Linked DNA regions of Drosophila melanogaster. The protein of the gene in region 3 interacts with the protein of the main gene of each other region in a biochemical or structural test. Each region holds a gene or a part of one and is shown on either strand. Other genes may lie near its edges.

What was found.
Region 1: of the proteins of P32 (region 3) and dhd, one has a biochemical effect on the other in vitro, tested with the Drosophila melanogaster proteins (one study listed by BioGRID).
Region 2: of the proteins of P32 (region 3) and ProtA, one has a biochemical effect on the other in vitro, tested with the Drosophila melanogaster proteins (one study listed by BioGRID).

What each region holds. Positions count from the first base shown.
Region 1 is NC_004354.4:5,310,192-5,313,754, forward strand, and holds dhd (deadhead), read left to right. Parts: upstream 1-1,979; 5' UTR 1,980-2,268; coding exon 2,269-2,592; 3' UTR 2,593-2,931; downstream 2,932-3,563. Other genes in the region: snf (sans fille), read left to right, coding at 1-238; TrxT (thioredoxin T), read right to left, coding at 1,047-1,520; CG4198 (uncharacterized protein), read left to right, coding at 3,242-3,563. UniProt on the Drosophila melanogaster protein: Participates in various redox reactions through the reversible oxidation of its active center dithiol to a disulfide and catalyzes dithiol-disulfide exchange reactions. As a reducing substrate of peroxiredoxin 1, thioredoxin 2 is preferred over thioredoxin 1.
Region 2 is NT_033779.5:14,878,425-14,883,178, forward strand, and holds ProtA (protamine A), read right to left. Parts: upstream 3,229-4,754; 5' UTR 3,087-3,228; intron 1,216-3,086; 5' UTR 1,195-1,215; coding exon 814-1,194; intron 765-813; coding exon 705-764; 3' UTR 626-704; downstream 1-625. Other genes in the region: ProtB (protamine B), read right to left, coding at 3,780-3,833, 3,883-4,263.
Region 3 is NT_033778.4:17,670,723-17,674,700, reverse strand, and holds P32 (P32), read left to right. Parts: upstream 1-2,060; 5' UTR 2,061-2,166; coding exon 2,167-2,371; intron 2,372-2,491; coding exon 2,492-2,836; intron 2,837-2,894; coding exon 2,895-3,136; 3' UTR 3,137-3,392; downstream 3,393-3,978. Other genes in the region: Sema1b (semaphorin 1b), read left to right, coding at 1-129, 193-391; IBIN (induced by infection), read right to left, coding at 3,476-3,601.

The DNA.
Region 1 (3,563 bases), on a different chromosome or scaffold from region 3:
GCCGCCGAACCAGATCCTCTTCCTCACCAATCTGCCCGAGGAGACCAACGAGATGATGCTGTCCATGCTGTTCAATCAGTTCCCCGGCTTCAAGGAGGTGCGTCTTGTGCCGAATCGTCACGACATCGCCTTTGTGGAGTTCACCACCGAGTTGCAGAGCAATGCCGCCAAGGAGGCGCTGCAGGGCTTCAAGATTACGCCGACGCACGCCATGAAGATAACGTTCGCCAAGAAGTGAACGCAACTCCAGTCGCCGGGCGTTCCAGCAACTCCAATAATAATTTAAACTATAGAATAAATCGATATAAACAAACAAACTACGAGTATTCCATATGCCCATATCCCTCCCATATCCCATTTCGCCCAAAGATCCTTAAAGGCAAAAGTATAGAATAGAATAGTTGATTGTTTATTGTGTAGATCTATTTGTTTGTCTGCAAACTTATAACTAACAGCTAGTAATGCGTATTATTTATGTCGGTCGATTGTACATATTTCCATTTAGTGTATAGTATATGGTGTATAGTAGTATATATATATATATATATAGCGTCCCTTTGCTCAGTCTGCATGGTGTATCAAGCTCGCTGCAAAATCAACATCAGTTTGGTGTGCGGGAGCGTGTGTTGAGTAAGTCCCACAAGTCCTCGGATTCCCAAAATGTTTGCTATATGTAGAATCGTTCAGCGACGTAGTCCTCCTCCGCCGTAACAACATCATCAGGCTTACAATTGTAATGCAATCATCATACTTTAGGCACCACAAATGATGAGTATTATGAGTGTGCATAATAAATCTGGGATAAGTGTGTGTATTATATATATATATATATATATATACATCGATAAGTGTGTGTGTGTGTGTGTGTGTGTGTCTATGTATATATATATATATATATCTATTGCTTTCTTCCGTTACGTCTGTTGAATGATGAGCTGCAGGAGAAGGAGCAGGGAATCGGTTATGTGACCACAATGCTTGCACTCCGGCAATCGTACTTACATACATATGTTGTCGTTATGTTCGGAGTGTAATGGTACTTTTGCCTAGTGCTCCAGAACGGCATTCTCGTCGTGGGCGGACACCTCATTAACGTTGTTGTTGTCGTTGTCGCTTTCACTGGACTCGGCGGTCAGATCGACAATGCATTCGCCATCGATATGGACGGCCTTAACGTCGGCCGCTTCATCGGTATAAACGCCGGCATGCTTCTCCATCAATTTGGCCAGCTTATCGGAATTGCAGCCAACGAAGAGCTCCAGCACATTGCCGCCCTTGATGAACACAAAAGTGGGCATGCTATTCACATTGTATTCGACCGTAATGTCCTCGTTCTCGTCCACGTTCACCTTGAGTACGACGACACGGTCCGAGTACTGCTGCGCCAGTTCGTCCAGCTTGGGTGCTATTATCTTGCAAGGTCCGCACCAGTCTGCATAAAAATCAATTACCACCAGCTTGTCCTCGGCGAGGATTAGCTGCTGGTCAAGATCGTCCTTGTTCCGCACTGGGTACACCATGACTTTAACTAAATTCCAAACGGATTGCAAATCGAAACGAAACAAAAAAAAAAAAAAATGGGAAGAGAAGAAAGAAAAAAAAAAGGAAAATGTTAGAAAATCTTGTTTTGGGTGTAAAATTCACTTGATTTGTTTTGTTACTTTTGAATTTTAATGGAGCTCTGCCCTCGCCGAGATATCAGCCCGAAATGAAAATTGTAGGGCGGCAGGCGTTCTTTTATACAGTTTTCGCCAAATATTTTGCGGCCTTCTTGGATTGAAAAAAAAGTGTTTTCAAATGTCAGCGGCGCGGTGTGTTGAGGTGAGTTTGGCTTCGAACCTACCACGGCTATGGCAACACTCGAGGAAAATATTAGTACTATGTCGTGTGACGCCATTATTTTGCCATAATTACGATAATAATATTCATATCGATATCGATAGACCTGCCGTGGTGAATAAGTATGTTCCCCACCCCCCAACACACTCGGTTGGCTTTCCCAACGACCTGGCAACCCTAACACGCCCGCCATTTTGCACTCTCCATGGGCCGCCATTTTGTTTAGCGGCCACGCGAGAATTCAGCATGCAAATTGGCGGGAATTCCACTCTACACACCGCCACTTGGAGACCCCTATAAAGTCGCCTACGCAGCCGCCATTTCAATCAGTTCACAATTTGCAGCGAAAGCGCCAACAGCCCCATCACGTCAAGTTCTTTAATTTAAAAAAAAGAAGAAAAACACTTTGCTAATCCTCGCGACATAAAAATGGCATCCGTACGCACCATGAACGACTATCACAAGCGCATCGAGGCGGCCGACGACAAGCTAATCGTGCTGGATTTCTATGCGACATGGTGTGGTCCCTGCAAGGAAATGGAGAGCACCGTCAAATCGCTGGCCAGAAAATACTCCAGCAAGGCGGTGGTGCTCAAGATCGATGTGGACAAATTCGAGGAGCTGACGGAGCGCTACAAGGTGCGCAGCATGCCAACGTTTGTCTTTTTGCGCCAAAATCGACGCTTGGCCTCCTTTGCCGGCGCCGACGAGCACAAGCTGACCAACATGATGGCCAAGCTGGTGAAGGCGTAAGCAGCAATCCTGCCCAGCAATTAGCAATCAGCAGCGCATCTTTTTTTTTTTACTTATTTAACTCATCTTTTAAACATGTTCGCCTCATTTGTGTTCGTTTATGTATTCGATGTTATGTGTATGCTCATGTGATGTTTAGCTTGTAAGCGCGAGATGTGGGTAGCAGGAGATGCAGTGCAGCCAACAGCAGTGACCAGATGATATATGCTATGCTACTACTACTACTTATATGCTATGATTTGTGGCGCGGAGGCGTGTCTGCGACACATAATCCCGCCCATTTAGCTTTAAGATTCAGGCACTAAGAAGCAATTCGATCAATAAATTATTGTAACCACTCTGGACATTTAAATGTTAACATGGAATCAGCTTTGTTTTTTTTTTGCCCACAGCATTTGGATTGTTAACCAAGTAGGCGCTGCGTGGTCATGTCATTTCGGGTTCCAGCAACATTTGGCATTTGCTAACCAAACTTGAGATCACACACACGAAAAACAAAAAATCCCAAACATTCCGCAGCACAAATTCAATCAAATCCAAAACGCACATTTCGGTCGCATCCAAATTGTACGGATTTCGTTAGTAAATAAAAATCAAATTTCGTGTAAATCCAATCCATAATCCGTGGTAGAGTAGAAACCACACCATCATGTCGTATCAGATCAAATCGACGCCCTACTTTCGTCGCATGTTCAACGAGAGCAAGAAGAATGGCCAACTGCAGCGTCTGCGTGATGAGTACGAGCGCATCCAGGAGTTCAACGATCGCACCATCGAAATGAAGATGCGACAGGTGCGATTAAAGCGGCTATTTCGCGAGATCGAGGTAATTAAGGTGGCTGGCGGGGCGGCCGGTGGCGCCAGCGGTGGCGGCACATCGACGGCATCATCGCCATCGAATGTTGACCAATCGTTTGGTTTAGCCGGCGGACGCGTTACCCGCCGGAGACGGCAACAGGCACACGGTGCTA
Region 2 (4,754 bases), on a different chromosome or scaffold from region 3:
TTTCGGGTTCACTTTCATTTTTCACTGCGCAATGTTTCTCTGAGTAAGAGAAATGAGCTGTAATGGGTGCCAAAAGCCAACGACAGGGAAAAGGAGACAGGAGGCCACCAGACAATTTATGCGAGCCTTGGGAATTGTTTCGAAAATTGACAAATTATGGTCGTAAGTGCTGCGATTAGTCCGTTCCGTTCCATTCGCCTTTTCGTTTGCTATTTTTGCCAACTGTCCCAAGGTTGTCTTCCCAAAACCACAATGTGCATTACATTTACTCACAGAACAGTTGCAGAAACGGGTTTATGGCATCCATAACATTGCGGGCACTGCGTGTTATTAATAATTCAATTTAGCTGTCTCAGAACAGACGACGGGTCAGAGAACTCTGGAAAGCTTGAAGCACACGCAACTCCTCCTATACCTTCGAATTCCCAATGCCGTGCCCATTTACCGCTCAGCCTTAGCAGTTTTCCCGTTCCATTTCCTCGGATCACAGCTCATTATCTATTCATGCAAAAGCTCATATAGTGGAATAATAAATTGAAATTCGACGGGCACCTGGAAACAACCACAAATACCCATTCGCGCTATTCCAACATCCTAGAATCGTAATAAAAAGTACACGATTTTTAATTGGTTTTTATTTCTAAATTCATCGAATGTTAGGAAAGGATATGCCTGGACTTAACTGCATCAGACTTTTTCCTATCTCAGTATTGCTGGCAAATCCGTCGGCGCTTGTGGCGTTCACTGGTGGTGACCTTGCATGCCTGAAAGGACACCAATGAATAGTCTTCATAACATAAAAAATATACGTACCATCCGGCGGTATCGATCCTTTCTATTCTCCGAGAGCCTGGCCCACGCTTTAGCGGCCTTTGCAATTAATTCCCGCGGTTTCAAGTTACAGTGCTTCTTTCGGAAGGAACGCACAAAATTCAAATAGGCGTTGTTAGTGACAGGTCCCTGCTTGCTGCACTTCTGCCTCGGTGCACACTTGACCTTGGGCCGAGTCGCCTTGGCACAGGCTGCCTTTCGGCGCGGCTTTGCACAGGACTTCATTGGCTTACATTTTTGAGGTGCTCTCCTTATTGGATGATTACACATTTCAGTGAGACCTTTAGGACTTTCATCTTTTGCAGAAATGGAAATTATGCCATTCCACAGGCTCTTGCACTCATTTACATTATTTGAACTCATCGTAGAAAATTTTTACAAACTCTGAAAAGAAAAGGAAAGGGAAGTTTTATATGGGATTTATTTGTTGTGTACGATGTCAGCCATCAACTGTGATGGAGTATGTTCCCCCCGCATGTGAGTGTTGGCCCCAGAAGCCGCAGAGTTGCGTCCTAGAGAAGTCACTTAATCAGTGAGCAACCCGAGTCTCAAACCAGAAGTAAAGCCCAAGCCCTACCGACCAGGATGAAGATCTGAACAGCAGGAGACAAGCGGTTGCAACTGCAACAAAGCCCATAATTAATAACAGTTGCAAGCTGCCTCCCGACAACCGACGTTTAGTCACCATGTGTGGGAGCCTAAGTGGCGGTTCTTAGCCAAGACCAATGAGTATTAAGAACTGGTTATATAATTGTCATGGAAATCTACAGTAGTTTGTAATGAAAATTAGTACCCGACAGCAAATGGGCAGTGGTAAATAATTAATAGAAGGACTCTCCAAGGATAAAAAAGCTAAACCAATATCTGTATAATTCAAGATTACTGAAGTTTCCTCAAATCCGAGCAATTTATTTGCCACCCACAGCTGATATTTTGGGCTTGACAAATATTAATTCGAAATATTAATTTGAAATCGTTATGGATGTGTACAAATTACAATTTGTGACCAGCTGTGCCATCGCACCACACTGCCTGCATTGTCTATCAAACCCCACTGAACACCCAGTTGGAATACAAAATTCGCTTTAGCTAGAGAGCTTCATTGAAGGCCCAATATGCTCCTTTTGGCTCTTCGAACTTAAAATTATCTTGTGGATCAATATAAAAAAAAACAGCACGAGTTGAATGGATATTATTGGGGCTTCGCCGGGAGGAAGTTATCTTCAAAGCTATTTTTCTTCAATGAAAGGAAGCCTTGATTGATTAAGTGCTAAACTAGATTTAAAAGCCAACGAGGGCAGGTAAAACTAAGTAGGAACCGACAGGAGCTGAGGGCGTCGAGTGATTATCATTAGCCGCCAGAGTAGTTGCCATTTAGCACGCACAACGAGATGAGTGCCAGCAACATCAGCAGCAGATGCAACAATGTTTGAGTAATTGTTTGCCGTTGCTGCAGCGTCAACAGCAGCACAAGCAGCAGCACAAGCAGCAGCAACTGCAGATGCAACAAAATTTGCATGCAAGCACAAGTCCCTACTCACCACCCCTTAGCCCAAAACCCCACTCATTGCCCCATTTGGCTGCACACGTAACTGAACGGTGGCAACAACTGCAGCAGTAATTGCAACAAACAATTAGCGTCACTTGGATTTATGTTTACGAGCGGCTGCCTGGACATTTTCGGCCACAATGACAGTGTGCCCCCTGTCTACTGCCCTTTTATGGTTGTCAACGAGCAAAAAGTTGATCAATCAGGACGTGTAATTTATTTACAATTTCACTCTGACAACGAAAGAAAGAACTAAGAGTTTCTCTTCACATTAACTCGATCTTTCTTTCGGCCGAACCGCGTGAACCGCTATGATTTATTTAATTGCCCGCGCTTGCTGCCAGTGTTGTTGCAGCATGTAAATGACGTCATTACAAGGCGTGGGGCGTGGCAAGGTGGTTGCCTGTCGACAGACTACCCCCGGCATTAGTTTAAAGCCAGATAGGAGGGCCACATCCATCCGATATCGAGGCAAACACGCCACGTCGACAGTCGACATTAATTTAATCGCATCACAATGCATTTACAGAACTGAATTTCACAAAAGCTTCTTTAAAAGAAATTTTTGAAAGTAAAATTTTTTCAAATGAAGTTTATCGAAACTGATTGGCATACCAATAAAAAATAATTATGCGCTTCGTTTAAAATAATTTGTATGGTATGTTGTTCTGTAAAAATAAATTGTAATTCGTTTTATTTCACTTACCTTTATAAAGTTTTTTTTTTTAAACCAAATTTTTGTCACAACTAATTTTTAAGAAGAGCATAAAAATAAGACTTTTGGAAAAATTTTGCTTGTGAACTGTTTGTGTACCAAGTTACAACTAATGTTTAAAAAAACCGACTGCCCGGTATAAGGGGTATACGGCAAAACCTACGCCAACTATATGGAATAAAGTTAGATTTGATCGAAACGACGCCGGCGGATACGCATCCTGGGAAACATCCTTCTGTTAGGTGGTTACGCCCCCATGTTTCCCTTTGCCAGTGGCAGTGTGGCAAGTTTTCCTCATAGGTGGCATAAATTATGTGAAACAATTTTTGGGTATTTCGATTGTCTCACAACAGACGCCTGGTCAGAGAACTGTGGAAAAGCTTGAAGCAGAAGCCTATCCATATCTTCGAATTCACCATTGCCGTGCCCATTTACCACTCAGCCGTTTCATTTCTTTGGATCACAGCTCATTAGAAAGCTCATATAGTGGAATAATAAATTGAATTTCGCCGGGCACCTGGAACAACCACAAATACCCATTCGCGCTATTCCAACATCCTAGAATCGTAAAAAAAATGAAACCCGGTTTTTAATTTTTTTTATTTCTAAATTCATCGAATGGTATCAAATCAATGAAAATATATGCCTGGACTTAACTGCATCAGACTTTTTCCTATCTCAGTATTACTTGCAAATCCGTCGGCGCTTGTGGCGTTCACTGGTGGTGACCTTGCATGCCTGAAAGGACAAATTAATAGTCTTCATAATATAAAAAAAAAATACGTACCATCCGGCGGTATCTATCCTTTCTATGCTCCGGGAGCTCGGCCCACGCTTTAGCGGCCTCTGCAATTAATTCCTGCGGCTTCAAGTCACAGTGCTTCTTTCGGAAGAAACGCACGAAATTCAAATAGGCGTTGTTAGTGACAGGTCCCTGCTTGCTGCACTTCTGACTCGGTGCACACTTGACCTTGGGCCGAGTCGCCTTGGCACAGGCTGCCTTTCGGCGCGGCTTTGCACAGGACTTCATTGGCTTACATTTGGGCGGTGCTCTCCTCTTTGGATGATTACACATTTCAGTGAGACCTTTAGGACTTTCATCTTTTGCAGAAATGGAAATTATGCCATTCCACAGGCTCTTGCACTCATTTACATTATTTGAACTCATCGTAGAAAATTTTTACAAACTCTGAAAAGAAAAGGAAAGGGAAGTTTTATATGGGATTTATTTGTTGTGTACGATGTCAGCCATCAACTGTGATGGAGTATGTTCCCCCCGCATGTGAGTGTTGGCCCCAGAAGCCGCAGAGTTGCGTCCTAGAGAAGTCACTTATTCAGTGAGCAATCCGAGTCTCAAACCAAAAGTAAAGCCCAAGCCCTACCGACCAGGATGAAGACCTGAACAGCAGGAGACAAGCGGTTGCAACTGCAACAAAGCCCATAATTAATAACAGTTGCAATCTGATTCCCGACGTTGTTTTGTAACGAACAAAAAGTTGATCAATCAGGACGTGTAATTTATTTACAATTTCACTCTGACAACGAAAGAAAGAACTAAGAGTTTCTCTTTAGATTAACTGGATCTTTCTTTCGGCCGAACCGCGTGAACCGCTATGATTTATTTAATTGCCCGCGCTTGCTGCCAGTGTTGTTGCAGCA
Region 3 (3,978 bases):
ACTTACAACTATCGTTTTCTTTACCTTCCTTGTGGGTGGAATCGCAGGAATATGCTGTGTGAAGGCTAAGAGCCGCCTGATGGAGGCCCAAATGGATGAAAGTCACCGCAATCATTTCGGCAAGCCAATGTAAGTTTTATCTTGGAAGATGCAAATCCATATTGGACAATTCTAATTAAATGGTTTTGACAGGCAATTTAAACATCAAAATACTGGCAAAGACATCAACCTGTTAATGGGCTCCAATGCCTATACGACCACACAAAAAACACCTAATCTGGATTTAGAAAAGGATCGCAGTCATGAGTGCAAAAACTCCACGGAACATTTGGAAAAAGAGCTGCCCTGCAAAACGTCAACGCTGACAAAAGTGAAACGCACTTACATCTAGTGGCCTTGTGAGGGCAGCCAACTGCAAAATTAGTCGAATTTCTATACTCTAAAACATATTTTCGTTGTTTATGTTGCTGTTAGTTATAGTAACCCCCCACCCAATTTGCGAATAATGTAAACGACAGTCTCGGATGCGTTTGAAACGCATCCGAAAGATAGGAAGCAGAGCTGTTGCGTCTTTTTTACTTAGCTTGTATTGTAATTTAATTTGATGTAAAATTTGCGTAAGCTTAGTTTCTTTGTCAAAATTTAGTTAAATTTATTGACAACGTAGTGTGCGGGCTGCCGCAGCCTGGAGCTAACCCGAAGCATTCCGCATTCCCCTGACGTCGACCTTTGCTGTCCAAAATAGGAGTGCCGGCTCTTGGCTACGCAGCCCGATTGTGTCGCCCCTTATGTGTACTCTTAATGTATAATCTTTAAGTGCAAATATTAGAGCTGTACAAATTTAATCACATATCATGCATACCGAAATCGAACCCGAAGCGGACCAGCCCCAATTATTTCTCGAAATTCAATCGAATATTCAACAAGTATTTTGTTAGACTGAATGATTAATTATTCTATATGAGTTTGTTTTGTGGAGAACTAACAGAATGCGACAGAGACTTTAAAGCTCTATGCTTTGTGGCTAACAAAAGCGTAAAATTGTATCTAACATAAGCTCTATAAGGAATTGAACATAGAATGTAATTAAAAGTACGAACTAGGCTAAGAAACGAAGAAAACTTCTATGAGGCTGTTTGATAAGAACTGACACCGCAGCCCCCACATCATCAGATGGAAAAACGCACAAGAAAGCGAAAATAAATGAACACTGCAACAACAGCAAGCCTTATAAATAGTATAAAATCGTGTCGAATCTAGGCCTTAACGCTAAACTTGTAAGCTTTGGATGGAAATAATGAGCTTGGTTGGCAATCAACGTAAATCAGCATTTTAATAATTTTATGTTTAATTTCTAAGCTGTTGTCCGTCCCACTAAAGAAGTTGCATAAATACAATGTACAATGGCAATTTTATTTTTAAAACGTGTAAAATGCAATTTTCATCGTAATTAATATATTTTTATACGTATATGTACGCCTAATGTCTAAATCTTAACATAAGAAAGTCTTAAAAATGGAAAATCCCGATAAAAGCTATATATAAAATATTTTTAAATCTTACAAAAAAAAACGTAATGTAATGATTTCTCATATTGTGATAGATTTTATTGAAATTTTAGAAAGATGAAATGATATGCCTTTTGGTTGAAAAACAATGATATATATGACGAACGAGTCTGATTGCATGCATGATAATATTGCGTAGGAATGGGTCTTCCACTCGGAGGATCAAGAACCAGAGAAAACCCTTCATGGTGTTTAGTTTTTATTACTGTGTATGTCCTTGTAATGTGTATATTGTTGTATACATCCGATAAGCAATTCGTAAATCTAATAAAGTCGTCATTTTTTTCATAACTCAATGTGGTCTTTTAATAGGTTCGGATCTATGAAACATTGAATTTTTACAGCAAATATGGTTTGGTTATATTTATTGAAATCAATCATTTTTCCAATAAAGGCTAATTTCAAAATTTGAATAGTTTACGATAAAGCCTTTCGCGCCGAAAAATGATCGATAACTTCTGATATGGCTCTACAATACATCAGCCTCGTGATTTTCTGAATAAGATTCAACGGTCACACCAGGCACTACACTTTTGGCGTGTTGCACATTTCAGTGTTTAATTAAAGTAAAAAGCCCAGGTCGCGGTTATATAACAAAATGAACAGCCTAAGGACAGCAACCATGCGATTTGCCGCTCTGGCCAGCTCCAGTGCCGGATCTCTCGGCAAGCGCGATTTCACCCGCAGCCTGTGGCACATGACCAAAAAGCCGGTGACAGCCGGAGGATCCGATCATGTAACCGTGTTGAATCTCCACAAGCCCAGCATTAATTGCACGTGCGGCTGCAACGTGCACACCAAATGTAAGTTAACTCAACAAATTCTTACATGGGCGGTCCATGCCGCCGGTTACATAACCTCAAACGTTGGGTGACGAAATGTTGACCAAAACACAGAAAATTAAACGCTTTGTTTATATCCAGGTGAGCGGGAACTGGTGGAGTTCCTCACCGAGGAGATAGTGGCCGAGCGCAAGGTTCAAAAGGGCAAGACGGTGCCAAGCACCCTGGATGGATTCGCCGTAAAACTGACCGGCGCCGATGTGGAGCTCACCAAGCAGACGGATAAGGAAAAGGTGGTGGTCAGCTTCAATGTGAACCATACGGTGGACAGCGAGGAGGAGCCCGAAATCAACCCCAATGCTGACAAGCCGGATCTCGGTGAAATGAGAAGCAAGCCCCAGTTCGAGGTGGACATCATAAAGGGCAACTCTACGCTGTCCTTTACCTGCAGCTTCCTTCAAGGCGAAGCTCAGGAGGGCGAGTACAGTGAGTACTTTGACAGAAATCGTTTTGATTCACCGATAACACAGGTTTTACCTTTCAGACGATGTCTTCTCCATTGATGAAATGGCCATCTTCGAGGGCGAGTGGAACGATAAGGTCTACGCCGTCGCAGGCGACGTGCTTGACGGTTACTTGTACGACTTGCTGATCAACTTGCTGGAGGAGAAGGGCATCAGTCAGGAGTTTGCCGAAAAACTGTCGGACCTAGCCACTGCCCATGAGCACACTTCCTACATTGGTCTGCTGGAAAAGCTCTCCAAATTCACTGCCGGTGGCAAGTGAATGTTCGTCCCACTTAATCTTAAAGCATAAAGTTGTGTAGGTTTTTAAGTTTCTATTGTCTGCTGTCGCAGTTTCATCACCTAAAACAGTTTTTATTAGTTGTGTTTTTGGTTTAACTGTGACAGTGAAACTTAGTTTTTAAGCCATAAAACATTCATACATGTTTCAGATAAAACTATAGAAACGGTTGCCAATAATTCACCCTTTTCGGCATCAGCTTCGCTTTGGTTTTTAACAAATACAACGTTAATTCCCTAGTTTTTTTTTTTGTTTATTTTCTTTCTATGGTTGCATCGATTTTTCGTAAAGATTTTCCTGTGGGTTGAGTTTCGTGATCATTTAGAACTGCCGGAAATATGGCCTGGGATCGTAGTCACTTGGTCGGTATCCTCCCCAGTCCTCGTGGTTCTTGCAGGCGGCGCAGATGAGGAGAGCGAGGAGCACGAGGATTGGCAGCAGTTGCATCTTGATTAACGGCAAGTTAACTTTAGATTGTGGTGCTGCAGCTTTTAATGCTCCTCTTTATAGGTGAGATTGCCTCACCTTATCGTTGAAATAGTGACCTTTCTCTTGGGGAAGTACTCCGATCTGTTTATTGGGCGATGGGATTTACCATTAATGTACGACCTATATGTGTTATTGTTTCACAATAAGCAGGATTATCAGCGTGGAGGCCATGTAATGTCATACTTTGTCATTAAGATGGATTTTATATATTTCGTTAAAAAGCTTTTTTTTATACGACCAATAATAAGAACTGCGACCATTACCTAATCATAGGCTTGTATATACTTCTAAGAAACTCAAAGACGGATTCTGTCTGAATATAACATTTTTTATAG